Caenorhabditis elegans: one gene and its partners. The protein of the gene in region 2 purifies or fractionates together with the protein of the main gene of each other region. This does not show direct contact. Each region holds a gene or a part of one and is shown on either strand. Other genes may lie near its edges. The genes, in order: icp-1, kin-3 and zen-4.

Region 1 (4,820 bases), 8.4 Mb from region 2:
TCGTTTGGCACGATTTTGAGTGGTTCTCTGATTGGTTGCTGCTGCTTCTCTTCTGTGTTGTCATTTTGACTTGCGTTGATTACAGTGGATTCCGATGAAGACGAAAGAAGATTATCGATAGTTGGAGATGGGAGATCATCATCGGATTCCCGCTTCGTCTTGGGAAGTTGCATTTTGACCGGCGTGTCGCATTCCAGGCTTGCTGGAAATTAAAACTTTATTATGAAAAATAATATTTGAATAGTCTTACGAAAGTGATTTTCGAAGTATGACGTCTCACACGGCTGGTCTCTGCTCGGCGAGCTCGATAATCTCGAATAGTCCTTGACTTTCGGTACAGCAAAGCTGCTGAAGAAATTCTCATCGAATTCCTGAATGGTTTGACTTTTGCTCATCCTATAAGAAAGAAATAAATGATAATTTGAATTCTAACTGATAGAAAAATAAATAAATAAATAAACTCGTGAATTCAGAACACGTTAATCAATGAGTGAACAATAAAATAAAAATCGGCTGAAGAATTATTATTTACAGCGAAAAAAAAATTTAATGTAAAGTTAGGGCCGATGGAGTTTTTGTATTCTCCGTTAAAAAGGGGGAAACATTGAAAATAAAAAATAACTCAATACGAAATATAAAAACATTTTACAATTTTTGAAAAAAGATTATGTCGCATGCTGGAGCGACTCCTGGCGATGTAAGCTGCTTCGGTACAACATCATTCCGAAATGTCTTGAAGAATTGTGCGAGACGACGTGTTTAACGTTGATGGACTCTTTTTCCACACTGCTGACGATCCGCGCTTCTTGACTTTGACAGCATCACTAAAGATTTCCTTTAGATTTGGCTGAAAATTTTTAAATTTTTACTGAAGGAGCTGCAAGAAAAAAAAAACAATTACCTTTCCAATCGATCCGAAGAATTGAGCCACGTCGAATGGTGGATTAATGGCATGTCTTCTGACATTCTCACGGACAACTGCGAATTCGGCCCAAGCCGGGACATCTTTGCGTGGATCATCTTCTTGATCTGTCTCGTCATCACTGTTAAGATCGTTCAAACCATAGTCATTCTTTGAGTTGTTTTGATAGGTACGTGGCGGAGTCATTTCGTAGGCTGCAGGTGGTGGCGTTTTTCGAAGAGCTTCCTGACGAGCTTGTTTCTCCGCGCATCTTGCGAGTGTTGCCTGGAGCTCTGCCTCTTCTCGCTCTCTTTGCTTCTCCAGCTGAGCTTGCTCTTCTCTCTGAACGGCCAGAAAATGCTCCTGCTCTTCTCGAGCTCTGAGTTGACGCTCCTTCTCCGCTTTCTCTTTCATTTCCTTCTGCTCCCGCTTTCGTCGTTCATCTTCTGCTAACTGTAGCAGATACTGCTCCTGTTCCAGCTGAATACGTTGCTGTTCCTGAAGAGCGGCAAGTGCGGCAGCAGCTTCAACATTTGATGTAGAAGACGAAGCTGCGTGGGCCGATCGTTTCGTCGCTTTCGCCTTTGGTTTATGTTGACGCGCCGGTGGAGTTGAATCATCACAGCTCATCGGCTCCATTTTGACTTGCCGGCTACCGTTTCGTTGCAATTCTCGGGAAGGCTGAAATGAGTTAAATTATTATTAGGAAAATACAATCAAGTAAATACTCACCGATAGTTCAACGGTCGGCTGAGCCACAGGAGCAGTCTTCTGTCCATCTGAGCCAATTAGAATCTCAACTTTTCCCTTCTTAGCAGGGCCTCGACCAGGAGTGGATGTGCTTTCCGCCGTTGGGAAGATTTTTCTACTTGCAGCCTTGTTTGGAGCATGGTCTTGCATCAAACGAGCTCTTGTTGGCGACTTTGCACTGTTGTGAAGTTTCGCCAAATTAGCATTACGCTCTTCCTTTTGCTTCAACTGGTCGAGCTTTTCCTGACGAACTCTTTCCTGCTCTTTTCTGCGCTCCATGACAGCATTCCGCTTCTCCTCGTCCTTCCGTGCTTTCTCCCTTTTCTTCTCGAGCTCTTTCATCCGGAGCTCATCAGCATGCTTCATCCTTGCATTCGGATCTTTTTCTGCATCATTGAACGGAATCACACGATGGGGCGTCCTTGGAACCACAGCTGCACGGCCGGGAGTTCCTGCCATACGTCCAGGTGTTGACGAGAAAATGTTGCGCGGAGTAGCTTGATTGTGAGCCTCACGCGGTGGATTTCTGCGAGGAGTGCCACTGTACGCTGCATTTCGTGAGATGCTTCCTTCGGTCTTCTTTTTGGATATGCTCATTTGCTGCATGCGCTTCAACGTGACTGGCAATATGTCCTCTTCGAAATCACCATCAGTCGCTACTGAGCCGGCTCGTGGAGTGATGGGTCCTGCTTGATCTGTCTCGACTTCGTCGGTTTCCATATCATCATCTCCGCGGTGACTTGAACTGGACGGTTGAGCGGGTTTCGCTTTCTGAAAAAAATAAGCATTGACGGAATAAAGTAAATTTGAGATTTTCTTACCTGTCTTGAAATCAACTCAACAAACTCAGCATCAATGCGTCCGGGTTTTAGGACGGCATTTAATAGCTGTTCCGCCGAGAATTGAGGCGTGGCCAGTTCTTCTGTGATCGAGGACATCCTCTTGTACAGATCTGCGAAAACTTTTGCAGCCGCGTCGTCATGAGCCTCGCTTACTTCATCGAATATCTGAAAGAAATATTTTATATCAAAAGAAATTATTCATAAACACAAACCGACGAAATTTTCGGGATACTCGAAAACAGTTTGATGGTGGGCTCGGCTGGCTTTCGCGAGACTGCGCGCTTTTTTGGTGGCATCTTTCTGGAAAAAAAAACTGATTTAAACTCTGTAAAATTTTCGAAAAGATGAACAAAAGTCGAAAAACGAGCGGGAAAACAATGGGAGGGCTGACAATTCGAATGGAAACGATTCCCGCGCGTGCGCAAACATAGTAGGGTGTACAATAGAGCAGGGTTGCCAAGCGCCTCATTCGACAAAAACAAAGATGTTTAAATAGATGTTTCGGCTATACAAATTATTCAGAAACTGCTGGACAAAGTTGGAGAAAAGTAAGATTTTAAAGGAAAAAACAGGTTTTTAAACGAGATTGGAGTGTTATAACGGGAATTGTTGAGTTTTTAAGTGATAGATTTTAATTTTTCATCCAAAAATTACGAAAGTAGTCTCAAAAACACGATAAAACTTTAAGAAATTCCCAGAAATTCGCCTAAAAAACAAAAAAACCCGCTTTGCGAAATCCTAAATATCTCACCACGAAAACCTACCATCAAAGCCGCATGGCCATAAACGGTAGTAAAGGCATCGGCACGACTTTGCAAACTACGGTAGATATTTTCTTTTATCATTCTTAATAGTTTTCAGAGAGAAAAATCGCTTTTATGTATTCTTTCCCTCCTAAAACTGATTATTCCAGATAAAAATGGAAGCTGAAACAGCCCAAAATCCATCGAAAAACATTGACGAAACGCTTTCAATTCAACATGATTGGCACCTCAATTTGAGGTAAATTAATATACATTTCCATGGAAATTTATTTTTTTTTCAGAGAACCAGTCTCGCAGTTCTACCTCGGAATCAAGAAATTCGAGGCTACGAAAACCGAATTCTTCCAAGTACAGATCACAAAGCTTGTTGATGAGTACGGATTCGCTGTGATGCCAGAGGAAGGCTCAATTAAATCTTCCGACTTCACTGATGTTTCTCTCGATGAGCATAAAAATCTACATGTCACTTTCCAAGGGAGAACCACAATTTTCGTCGGTCCTACCAGTGAGCAGAACCTCCGAGGGCTACAATCAGCGCCGCGCTCGTTCGACGTTTCATGTACCGGAAGCACTTTTGTTGCAGCTGATTCGAGCGGAAAGCTGATCATTGCGAATTCGAGAACTGCCGAGACTCTAGTGGGTCTTTAAAAACAATATTTTAGCGCAAAATTTTGATGATTTTCACCTGAAAATTTAATAATTTTCAGACAGAACTCACCGGCCACACTATGGACATCTACCGCTGCATGTATTTCCCGTCGGGTCTCGTCGTTATTGGCGGTGGAATGGATATGGCGATCAGAGTATGGGCAGTGGATAAAGTGCCGGCTCAGAAGACGTTCGTCGGGCACACAAAGGCAGTAACAGGCTTCGGGATCATCGGAGTTGGACGAGAGTTCCTCTCGTGCTCCAACGACGGAACAGTACGATTTTGGAGCTGCAAAAATGCTGCGCCAACCGAAACATGGAGCTTCGAGAAGGGAAAATGCATTGACATGGCAATGTCAGTGGATGACTCGAGATTCGCTGTCATCTGCGAAAACAATTTCCTATCAGCGATTGATCTGCACGGCGACAAGATTCGGCGTGATATTCAGCTTCCTTCCGTTCCTACGGCTCTCTGTTTTTCCGGAGATGAAGGTGGAAAAGCGGTGTTCGTCGGGTTTGAGGATGGCCACGTGGCGGCCTATAACGTGTCGGATCGCCGGTTAATCGGGGAAATTGTCACCAAAAAAGGAAGCGTCACCTGCCTCAAATACTATTGCAATCGACTAATTGCATCATTCAGTGAGAAAATATGAGCTTCAAACTTTATATTTAAAAAATAAATTAATTTTCAGCCACCGGAAATGTTCTCGCCTTTCCGATCCTTTCCCTTCCCACCTCGTCAAGCATCATCTCCGCCGAGTACGAGCTAACCGGTGCCGATTGTGAGCCGGTGTACGATATGGCGATTTATCAGAAGAATATTTATACATGTTGTCGTGATGGCAAAATTCGAACTTACAAGGCGCAATGGAGCTTGTAATTGAGTATTATTATATATTTCTTATGTTTAACTAT
Region 2 (4,752 bases):
AATTGGTTTTTTAAATACCAAAAATGGTCTCAAACTACTGAATTTCGCAATGAAATGTTCTGAAAATTTATGAAAAATAAAAAAAAAAATATTATATGGGTTCAAAGTATTGTAAAATGTCATATTTTCAGTGTCGCAGCGCTGTCGTAAATCAGTTTTCATATAATTATCATAATTTATTGCTGGTTTTGTTCGCTTAGGCCCTTTTTAGGCCATAAGCCGCAATTTTAGAATGCCTACTAGCTTAAACTGTGCCTAGGTTAGAAAAAAACTCATTCGAAATCTAAATTGTATCTGAAAAGTTTCGTTAATTTTTTCCAGATACAAGTTTTTTATATTATTTTTAATCATGCTTTATTATTTCCATTTAATTACCATTGGCGCGGTAGCCTGAACATCCAAATAAATCGGCTGCGGAGATCCTGGCTCAATTTTCGATGCCATTGTCCGGCGAGCAATCGATCGAAGGAGCACTCGTCCGTTGAGCATTTTAAATCTAAAACTCTAAAAGTGAACATAGTTCACAACTCAACATAGGAACAATAGTAGGTTTTTCAAACCAAAGACAATATTGATTACAAGTAACAGTTTTTTTTCTCACGAACTGTGATTCGATTTATAAAAATGATGATTGTGGTTGTTTGAGGAAGAGGAAAGGGGAGAAGAAGGAGAACAATATGAAATGGGACAAAAAAGATTTAAAATTGAAACGGAATTTCAGAGGCATGAATTACACAAAAAAATCCTAAAAATAGAATTTGCAAAGAACGTTTCTCACGAAAAGATTAGGCACTTTTGTGGTACGTAGAGGGAAATTTTCGGAGAAGCGGGGAAGATTTAATATCTTAGCCAATTTTTAGAGCAAAGGAATAATGATGGAGAGGAGTGGTGTGGAAATTAATAAAAAAGGAAATAGTCAACAGGAAAATTAAAAAAAAAATAGAAAGAAATTTTAAGCGCCGTCAATTTTGGCATCGGAGGATTGAGAAGAAGCGGAATTCGATGCACCCTGTCCGTCAGCTTGTTCAGTTCCATTGGCACGAGCATGTGCTTCAACAACTGGGCGGAAGTATTCGTGACCCATGGCCTCTTGAGCAGTTAGGCGTTCCTGAATATGGTGAAATTTATTAAAAGTTCTGGAAATAAATTAATTTAACAAATAAAAGTATTTATAGTTAGTTTCGAGTATCAAATGTCTTTTTTTTCAATAAAACAAGTGAAAATTGTTTTTATTTCTCTGTGTTCTTGTTAAAACTGGTTTTCAGTAACTAATTTGGTGTAATTTCTCTTTTTTCCGATTCTTACCGCGTGATCGTAGCGAAGAAGTTTATCAAGGAAATCAAGAGCCTCTGGGGTGACAAGATGTTGATTTTCAGCGTGGATAAATCTACAACAAATGAATTTTAAGAAAAACATGAAACTTCGCTTCGATCAAAATATACCTTTCCCAGCGTTTTCTTGAGTGTCGCCCGAGAATATCGTTGAAGCGTGGATCGAGATCAATGTGATATCTCGCAATGTACTCGTAAAGCTCATCAGTTCCCAATACCTTTGCAATGCGGACTAGCTGCAAAAAACTTTTTATAAGAAAATCAGATTTCGTGAATTTATAAAATATTAAAAATCATAAAAATTATTGATGAATATTTAATAAATACCTGACAATATTATTTATTCATTTAAATTTCAGCTCAGGGGTGCGAATCAATCGCCGGCAAGAAATTCTACGGAATAAGCCAAACTTATCAGTAAAATTTTAGCTATGGAATTCAAAAAAATAATTTCTTTATCTGAAAATAGTTTTTTGCAGCTGGAACAATTGAAAAATGCTCAAAATTGGAAAATTTTCGGTTTTTTTCGGAAATTTTAAACTTTCCGGTAATTTTTTAAGCGTTTTTCCCCATTGTTCTCACTGAAATAAAAGCCATAATCAGATAAATCAAATGTTTTCTATATTCCAATATTGGATTTTAATGAAATTTGTGGATTTGCGGTTCTTTGCTACTTCAGCTTAAAGTGCTTACCTGATCGTAGTTATCATGGCCGTGGAAGAATGGTTCCTTCCTGAAGATCATACTAGCCAACATGCATCCCAAACTCCACATATCCAACGAATAATCGTAACATTGATAATCGACAAGAAGCTCGGGTCCCTTGAAATATCTAGAAGCAACACGAACATTATAGTCCTGTCTTGGATGATAGAATTCGGCTAATCCCCAATCTATTAATCGAAGTTCCCGTTTTTCGGCGTCAATCATCACATTGTGCGGCTTAACATCTCTGTGCATAATTCCTTGAGAATGGCAGAAGTCGAGAGCCTGGAGAATAAATTGAAACGTTATGAATTCAAAAATTAATGGACAGCTGAAAAAAGTACCTTCAAGAGCTCGTAGAGGTAGTAACGGATATCATAGTCACTGAGGGTTTGATACAATTGCTTGAAGTCCGAATTGTTAACATGCCTTCAAATAGAAATTATTAATTCTAAAAATCTTCAAATAGTAAACCAACTCGAAAATAAGAGCCGGAGTTCTCGAAATAGGATCCTTGACGACGTCGAGGAGGGTGATGATGTTTGTCCCGCCACGAAGATTCTCCAAAATTTTAATCTCACGCTTGATCTTCTTCTTTTTGACTGGCTGAAAACAAACAAATTACATTTTGAAAGCTTTATTACAATTATTTTTGTAAAACTTACCTTGAGAATCTTGACAACAACTTTCTCGTCAGTGCTCATCTTGAATCCTTCAAAAACCTCCGAATATTTTCCACGTCCCAACTTGCGTACCAGCTGATAATCATCGATTTGTCCCCATTCGATCATGTGAGCCTCATAGTCCCAGTACTCGCGTGGTCTCGACGGATTCACCTGAAACAATTGTGATTTATAATATATAAACTCATAAAAACATAATTTAGTGACTTTTACAAATAGTTTTTCTTTACGAGACTATAAATTCCTATGAACATTTATAAAATCTAACAAATGTGGCGTACAGTGTTTCACAGTATTCCACAACTAAACGGATAACGTTAATTCCGTCATTGTGAGTTATGTATGAGCAATATATTCTGTTCAATAATTAACTCCTGGCTATACAAACTTGCTCACCTCGGCGTAGACCCTCGCCCGGCTAGGAATCGGAGGCATTTCCCAAGAATAACGATCTGAAACAAGTAACACGTTATTTTTGAGCAAGTTTTGACAAAACGGCTGTTATAATTGAATTATTAGAACGAAATTTTCAGTAGAAATAGTAAAATCTCGGGAAAACTGATAAAACCCGAATAATTTTGAAAATACATGCCAGAACATGAAAAGAGTACGCAAATGCGAGAGAGCGCAGAGAAAAAACCAAATGTGAACTCGTGCGTGGTGAGATATTCCCGCTGCGAAAGTCGGTGTGCCTTTAAATTTGTCATCATCGACAACGGCGCGCATTTTCTTTTCTCATCTATTTCTGTATTTTAGAATGAAATCACTTTATTTTCAGCGAAACACTTAATTAAAATTGATATTTTCAGGTAATTATGCTTTCAGCTTCACAGCTTCATCGATTTGTGCAACATATTAATCGCCAGGCAAGCCGAGTAAGTTCTGAAGCAATTAATAAGTTATTTTATGTTTTTCTTCAGAACACATGGGTATTGCGCCGAGTATTCCAACCAGAAGTCACACCGCCCGGCGGAGTACAGAAAAATCCCAATGATTTCCACGATTACCAGAAATACGAAGTTGTTGAGTTCGAAACACAAAAATCCGCTGGTCCGATTAATGTGATTTTACTTCAAGATGTTGAAGGTAGTTTTTTAAAATAAAAGAAAGCAAATGTAAAAAATTCATTTTTACAGGAATTGGCCATCAGTTCGATGTGGTTAGTGTGGATCGGACTTTGGCCCGAAAGGATTTACTATTATCTAAAAAAGCCGTCTACGCGTCGCCGTTTGATTTAAAGTACTATTCAGATATGAAAACAGTGGGTTTTAATGTTAATTTATATTTTTCAATCAAATAATAATTTCAGCGAATGGCTGAAGAACTTGCTTCTCGAATCAGAATTCCATATGAGCTCAAAGTGGTTGGACGAGATTTGCAAAAAATGGTCATTCCAATCAAAGTTAATATGGAAAATCAATGGACGATTGATAGGAATCTTGTAAAAAGCTCACTTCGTCAAATGGGAGTTTTCGTTGCTGAAAATACAATTTTCCTCGCCGCTAAACCAATTTCTGGCCCGAATTTTGATATCGAAGCAAAACTATTCCGATTCTACGTTGTTGTAAATCAACAATACATTGTTCCTATGTTAGGAAGGATTACACATATTTCAGTAGATGAATCCAAACAGGTAAAGATTGAAAAGTTGTAGAAAATTATTGAATTTCCCTTTTTCAGATGATTTCTCCTACACTGACAACACCACGTGACGAGGAATTGGCTCGATATTCCATCCGAAAAGAGTTCCCATTGTACAGTAAAAATAACGATTTCACGGAAGATTTCCCAATTTTCGAGCACATGAAAGAGCATGCACCAACAACTCCACATTAGAATTCTAATAATCAATCAGACTAGATTTAATGTGTTTCAATTCTTTATTTTTGTTATTCTTGTTTTGTTGTTTGAAAAAAATCGATTTTATTTGTATTTGATTCTTCAAATAATTTTTAATTTATTTGCTCACGGTTTAATCACCGTTTAATATCTTCCTTCATTTATTCGTCAAACTGTTTTAAATTTAATTTTAT
Region 3 (6,180 bases), on a different chromosome or scaffold from region 2:
GAAATTAAACTGGAGAGAAGAAAGTTAATAGCAATTTTTGAAAAAAACGGTGCGGCACGCTTGCAAATTTCATGCCAGACTTGCGGAAAATATTTCAAAATTTCCACTGTTTCAACGAATGTATATTTCAGATCATCGCAAATGTTTCCAATTTCTTGACAAATACAGCAACACCGGATAATATGTTCATGATGAATGCAGTAAATGTATTCACTCATCTTAAAAATACTCTCTAGGCAATTAATTTTCACCGATTTTCTTTTTTTTTTCTCATATTTCTCTCACCACGTGGTTTCTGATCTTGTCTCTCGCCTGGCTTTTCCCAATTTAACTTTAATTTTAAAAAATTAAATCTCTCTGATAATCAATATTTCTGACCTCTTTTTCATGATAATCCCTTTTTATTTTTCGATTGAATTATTTTTTGAAATACCAACCAAAAAATCAAAAAACGCGTATTAAATCATAATTATTTGTATAAAACCGTGCCTTTTTCCCACCATTTTCTATGTAACCCTCGACCTAAATCGGGTCTTATTTATTGAGATTCATTTTTTTGAACGAAAATAAAAGCTAACTTATTTTCATATTTTATATTCTTTGAGTTTAATTAAAATTAAAATACAAAAGCATTTACTAGTACACAAATCATCGTCGGGAATAAAAATGAACAGAGTTCTTCAGATCGATATCAAAAAATTGTGCGTAGAAGGAGAAAAAGACGAAGAAGTGAAAGATCATAAAAATGCGGTGAGGTCTACAAAAAAACAAGAGTTCTCTTCGAGTTCGGAAAATGGGATTATGAATGAGAAACATAATAAATTAATAAATATTTGGAGAAAATTTGAAGAGTATGGTACAAATTTGACATGAAAATGCAGCAGGATGGAGGTAAAAAGATCAAAGACGGCACTTATAATTACTTTCGTGTGCTCGGAGATTCGTGAGTGAGTCTCTCGATATCGTTGAAGAACACGGCAGTGCCACCGGAAACTGTTGGAATTACATTTCCCTGAAAAATTCGAGATGAGCAACAGATGAGAAAGTGGAACACAAAAATAAATGTATTTTTAAAGTTATATGACCTAAAACATTACATGAAAAACTGAAATTAAATGCATATAGAACTAGCACTAAATTAGTTAATTTTAAGCATGAAATTTTAACTCAAAAAGTATATATCAAGCAAATTCAGGCAGTTTTCTCAAGCACTACTAAAACAGTATCTAAAATAGCCAATAAACAATCAAAAACATACAACAAACACATAAAAATGTAAAAAGAGCAGCTTCATCTTCTCATTCCCCCAGCAAACATTCATTTCAAATAATTCTCATTCATCTTCTTCTTCAACATCATGATTAGAGTATATCGTTATCGATTTTACATCCGTACACGGTGAATACGAACTGCTTTGCGAGTCTTCCAGTTGAAGTTCTGGTGGTTTAGATGGTGCCTGTTAGAATGCGTTACGTGTGTGCTTTGTGAGAAGAAAAGACGGACAGTTTTGTATCAGGAAAGATGGGTGATAAGGACACGGGAAAACGACAACGGGACGGTACAGGCGTGTTTTTGGGTGGAAACCAAGGAATTTACCTTCACTATATTCGTGCTAATGTTTCCTTCATCGTCAACTTCTTGATGCGTGAGACGGTATTCTCCGGATTTGTTCAACTGATGCATCTGGAAAACAATTGAATTACAATAAAATTGCGGAATTTATTAATGTTTTTTCCTACCTCAGGTTTAGTAGTCCGTATGGCGTTAGCCGGTGTACGAGACTGAAGAACCGTTCCTGTTGGAACTCGATGAAGTGGCTGATGATCCAATAGACGAGATGCAGACTTGGATCTTCTTTGATATTTTGGATTAACGTAACCCTGTTGACCACTTCCTCCACTTGAAGATCCAGACATTACAGTGGTCGATGTAGTGGCTTCTAACCGTTTTTTGAAGACTGGAGCACGTCCTGGAGTTTGATATGGCGGTGGTGGAGTTTGGATTGGAGCTGTTGGATGAGCCACATTCTCTTGATCAAATCGTGATCGAAGAGAAGCAACAGACGGGGATGGATTATCAATAATTCCACGAACATTTCTCATCGCCTTCTTCTGTGACTGAATAATCTTCCTGTCCTCCATTTTTTGTTCCATAAGCTTTTCCATAACCAGAGCATTCTCTTGCTCTCCTTGCTCACACGAGGCAATTCGTTCCTTCATCGAAGCGTTCTCACGCTTATATCTTGAGCAGAAACCTCGAAGCTTCTTGATTTCTTCATCCTTGTCGTTTAGAGAATCTTTGAGACGTGCAATCTCTACTCGCTGGTAGTCTGCTTCCATCATGTATTGGCGAATCATAGTAAGAAGAGTTGAAGATGGTCCCTCTTCTGATGAATTTTGAAGAGATGAAAGTTTCCGAGCATACTTATACATGGAATCTACCGTATCTTTGTCATTGCAATCCTGGAAACAATTTGTTCAAAACCATTCAATTTGTGAAATTCTTACTGTCAAACAGAATGTCGGTGGGCACGGAATTTCTCTACTTCCATCATCCTCCATACGAACAGATCCATCTAGCTCAGAATTCCATTGGGTGAAGAATGAATGAGGAATCCGCTCGGATGGCATTCGTTCAACTTGCTTTTTCACTTCAATTGTTTGTGATTCTTCAGCGAAAGCTAGAGCACTCTGAAAGTTACGAATTTAAATAATTAGTAAATTCTTTGAATTCTGAACGAACCATGTTTTCATCGTAATCATCAGGCTTTGGATTCACACAAATAACCATTCTGATTTTTCCATTTCCTTCCAGATAGTTTTTGAATAAATGAGTCAATTTTGACTGGCGATATGGAACTTGCTCAAGGTTTTGTGAGGAACTCTTTTGGTTACGACGGAGTACTTCAATACACTGACGAAGAGTCATGAGGGACTGATTGATCGAGTTGGCTTCCGCAAGACGTTCACCAACATTCTGTGTGCGCTTTGCTCTAAAATTTTTCTCATTAAACATATATATTTCAGTTTACAACAAAAAAACAAACCTCTCAGATCCAGCCAAATCTACCAAACATAACTGCGAAACGATAATTTGCGATGAGTCCATTGTTGGATACACGCTTTTCGTCTCGTAGGCTCTCGGAGCCATAACCAATTTGATAGTGAATACGGAATGAGAACGGGATGAATCTTTGTTGAGAAGAGTGGACGATACACGACGACGTTCTTCTCCAAGGCAGAACACTTCGAGAGCTTCCTCGCTTGACGAGACTTCAACATCTTTGGCTCCGTCGACGTACATCTGTTGCTGACGATCATGACGAATTTCACGCTTCGTCAATACTCTGGAACTAGCGGAGGGTCACTATCAATTATTGCTCGATTTTTCTTACCCATTTCTGGCGTCTTCCAACAAATCGTAGCAATAATTGTTGTAGATTTCGACGTAGGTTACGAAAACCGAGCAAACCATATCGTCGTTGTAGCCTGACAGCTTTATAGCTTCACAGTAACGATCAGTGATTTCGCGTGATGTGGAAAGACGGTCTGCAGCCATTTGATGGCGTTTCAAGTGAGCATCCAATGTGGCACGGATCTCGAATGTATTCAGTGCTGATGGATAGAAGATGCATTTCTCAACTCTGGAAGAAAATAATATTATTTGCTTTTTTCGTTTCAAAAGCTTACCGATTATTAATACTATTGAAAATTACATCCAATGTACGCGGCAGTAGTCCTGTGCCGGTTTCAGTGGGTTTTCCCGTCATTGTATACGTTTTTCCAGATCCAGTAACTCCATAAGTGAATAACAACGAATTCTGACCTTTCAATAGGTTTAAAATTAAATCAACAGATGTCCGCTCAAAAACAGTAGCTTGTCCATCATTTTCCGAAAAAACTCGTCCAAATCTAAACACTTTCTCAACTTGTGGAGCGTTTTCGCGTCTGAACTGTGCTGGTGGAAGAACAGTTTGAATAGATCCCTCATCAATTGCAATAAGACTTGGAGTCGAGCCAGTATATGGACAAAGACGACAAACGACTTCGATACTGTCGGTTTCTTCAATCGATAACTTCTTCCGGCGGACTTGGTCTCGCGATGGAGTTATTCCTCGTTTACGCGACGACATTTTCTGAAATGAATTGAATTAAATAAAACAAGTTTTGTTATATTGATTTACAAAAACGGTTTTATTCCAAAAAACCGTGAAAAAATAACAAATTTCGAAGAAAAATCAACAAAAACAAGTCAAAGCAAACATGTGAGAACGGTTAGAATTCAAACTGGCGGCGGAGGGGGAGGGTGCGCAGTGAGACCAGCCACGCAGATAAATCTATGCGCCTTTAATACCTATGTCTGCGTCTCTCACACAAGGCAGCGAGAGTGGTACTCTTGTAATATTGCGGTGGCACTCGCTAGCTCGCGTTTTGTCCGCCGCCACCGTGTGCTATGGGCCTTCCTTCAGTGCGGGGAGTTGAGACTGTAATGGGTTCCGAAAGGATGAAAATCCTCAAAGTTCCTGATGTGGCCGCATCAAAGCACAGGTCGGATATGATTGTAGTGAGATATAATAAAAATCATTTAAAGACATAAAAATAAACACATAATACATAGGAAGATTAATAAAAAACATACGAATAAGTTACAAACAAGGAAATTAATTATCATCTGTAAAAGTTGAGGTGCCAATATAAGATTCGTTTTGCTAATTTTTAATAGAACTTTATATTCTTTTTGTGAAAAAGTGTCTTCGTAGTTTGGTTTTGTATTTCCCCCAGATTAACTTGGTTTTGGTTCTGGTTTTGTAGTTTTTGTCTATTTTTAAAAATTGGTCAGTGTCAATGTCAACTTTGTGTACTCTATCTCTATCAATTTTTAAGAGCCAAATGTACACAATAAGTTCTGCTGATTTCATAGTGAATAAATTTCTAGAAAAAAAAAACATGATATACCACAGTGCCAGTAGCCCAACAGTACAAAGAAAACATGTGAAGTTCACTAGAATATTCTACATTTGTTTACTTCTAGAATTATAATACTATAAAAATTAATTTTCAAGTCGTAGTAAAAAATCATTAGTAAAAGATAAAACGTAGTAAAAGAGCCAATTGTAGTACAAGATCAAGTAGTAAAACAGTATTTGCCAAAAAATTCAAATAACAGAAAAAGGGCATCCTTGGTGTTCAATCCAAGCGAGCAATGAATTCGGAGCAGTTCTGAATTTGGAAAAAATGTGCCAATTTGTTGAAAAATAATTCTTTCCACAGCAATTTCGAAGTTTATTTTTTAAAACCGTCCTTAAAAATCTCAGTGTTTTCCATTTCAGACTCAAGATTCCGTTTCAGATAAATCACGTCATGACGTATCTGAAAAGAGAAGGGCGACACATTAAGATTCAAAAATCGTCTGAATTCTTGCACTCGCATTAAATTATTTATAAGCTTCTTATATCTCTGATCATCAATCAAATGGGGTTCCCAGGATTTTAATTCTTGATTCGTTTTTTTTTTGCGAGGAGCAATGAGTGGGCGCAGCCGAATCGGGGAAGCCAAATTGTTGAAGATGCTCCCCAAATTATGAAACGTTTAAACAGGATTAAACATTCTATTACGGGCACACTAAATTCTGAGAATGCGTATTGAGCAACATATCTTACGCGCAAAATGTCTTGTAGCGAAAACTACAGTAATTTTTTTAAATGTCGATTTACGGGCGGAAAGTTCGAAACAAATTTATTTTCGAATTGTGACAGCGATATTTAAACTTCCTCCAATTTTTCGTTGAGCGTCAAATGTGATGCGCAATACGCATTCTCAGAATTTAGTGTTCCCGTAATATTTTTTGTTTTCACCCTTCGTGGGAAAACTACAGAATATTCTCAATTTTCTCCAGAAATCACCACACTCCAAACACTTGGAAACTCACGAGGTGGTTAATTACTGATTCTTTGAATTCTTTTGTGTGTTGATGAGAAGAGAAGAGTTCAAAAGGTTTCTGCCGCCCACAACTTTTCTCTTCGAATATTTATTTTTTCTCGTCCATTCAATCTTTTTTTGCAAAGGTAATTCAAAAACAAAAAAATGTTAAATAAGGAACAAAACGCGAGAGTATGGAGAGGAAATTCATGCGGAAATACGGTTCCTTCCATTGTTTTTCTTTTATTTTTAAGTTTGAGGA

The links.
Region 1: the proteins of kin-3 (region 2) and icp-1 purify together in Caenorhabditis elegans (affinity purification with mass spectrometry, with the first as the bait; one study listed by BioGRID). This does not show direct contact.
Region 3: the proteins of kin-3 (region 2) and zen-4 purify together in Caenorhabditis elegans (affinity purification with mass spectrometry, with the first as the bait; one study listed by BioGRID). This does not show direct contact.

Annotation. Positions count from the first base shown.
Region 1 is NC_003279.8:2,303,998-2,308,817, forward strand, and holds icp-1 (Inner centromere protein ARK-binding domain-containing protein), read right to left. Parts: upstream 2,794-4,820; 5' UTR 2,790-2,793; coding exon 2,706-2,789; intron 2,659-2,705; coding exon 2,473-2,658; intron 2,423-2,472; coding exon 1,634-2,422; intron 1,583-1,633; coding exon 902-1,582; intron 848-901; coding exon 719-847; 3' UTR 516-718; downstream 1-515. Other genes in the region: tpxl-1 (TPX2 domain-containing protein), read right to left, coding at 1-202, 251-395; Y39G10AR.9 (WD_REPEATS_REGION domain-containing protein), read left to right, coding at 3,270-3,317, 3,407-3,495, 3,539-3,893, 3,965-4,544, 4,598-4,785.
Region 2 is NC_003279.8:10,732,441-10,737,192, reverse strand, and holds kin-3 (Casein kinase II subunit alpha), read right to left. Parts: upstream 3,172-4,752; 5' UTR 3,155-3,171; coding exon 3,116-3,154; intron 3,051-3,115; exon of another isoform or gene 2,937-3,050; intron 2,873-2,936; coding exon 2,702-2,872; intron 2,643-2,701; coding exon 2,515-2,642; intron 2,466-2,514; coding exon 2,381-2,465; intron 2,322-2,380; coding exon 2,025-2,321; intron 1,568-2,024; coding exon 1,443-1,567; intron 1,388-1,442; coding exon 1,306-1,387; intron 1,109-1,305; coding exon 953-1,108; 3' UTR 578-952; downstream 1-577. Other genes in the region: nfs-1 (cysteine desulfurase), read right to left, coding at 376-444; mrpl-9 (Large ribosomal subunit protein bL9m), read left to right, coding at 3,535-3,594, 3,640-3,805, 3,856-3,980, 4,029-4,352, 4,400-4,555. UniProt on the Caenorhabditis elegans protein: Casein kinases are operationally defined by their preferential utilization of acidic proteins such as caseins as substrates. The alpha chain contains the catalytic site. May participate in Wnt signaling.
Region 3 is NC_003282.8:6,116,176-6,122,355, reverse strand, and holds zen-4 (Kinesin-like protein), read right to left. Parts: upstream 4,142-6,180; 5' UTR 4,133-4,141; coding exon 3,690-4,132; intron 3,644-3,689; coding exon 3,395-3,643; intron 3,353-3,394; coding exon 3,047-3,352; intron 2,993-3,046; coding exon 2,743-2,992; intron 2,691-2,742; coding exon 2,508-2,690; intron 2,463-2,507; coding exon 1,740-2,462; intron 1,684-1,739; coding exon 1,597-1,683; coding exon of another isoform or gene 1,513-1,596; exon of another isoform or gene 1,457-1,512; coding exon 1,334-1,456; 3' UTR 1,259-1,333; exon of another isoform or gene 1,013-1,258; coding exon of another isoform or gene 920-1,012; 3' UTR 579-919; downstream 1-578. Other genes in the region: M03D4.4 (C2H2-type domain-containing protein), read left to right, coding at 132-236.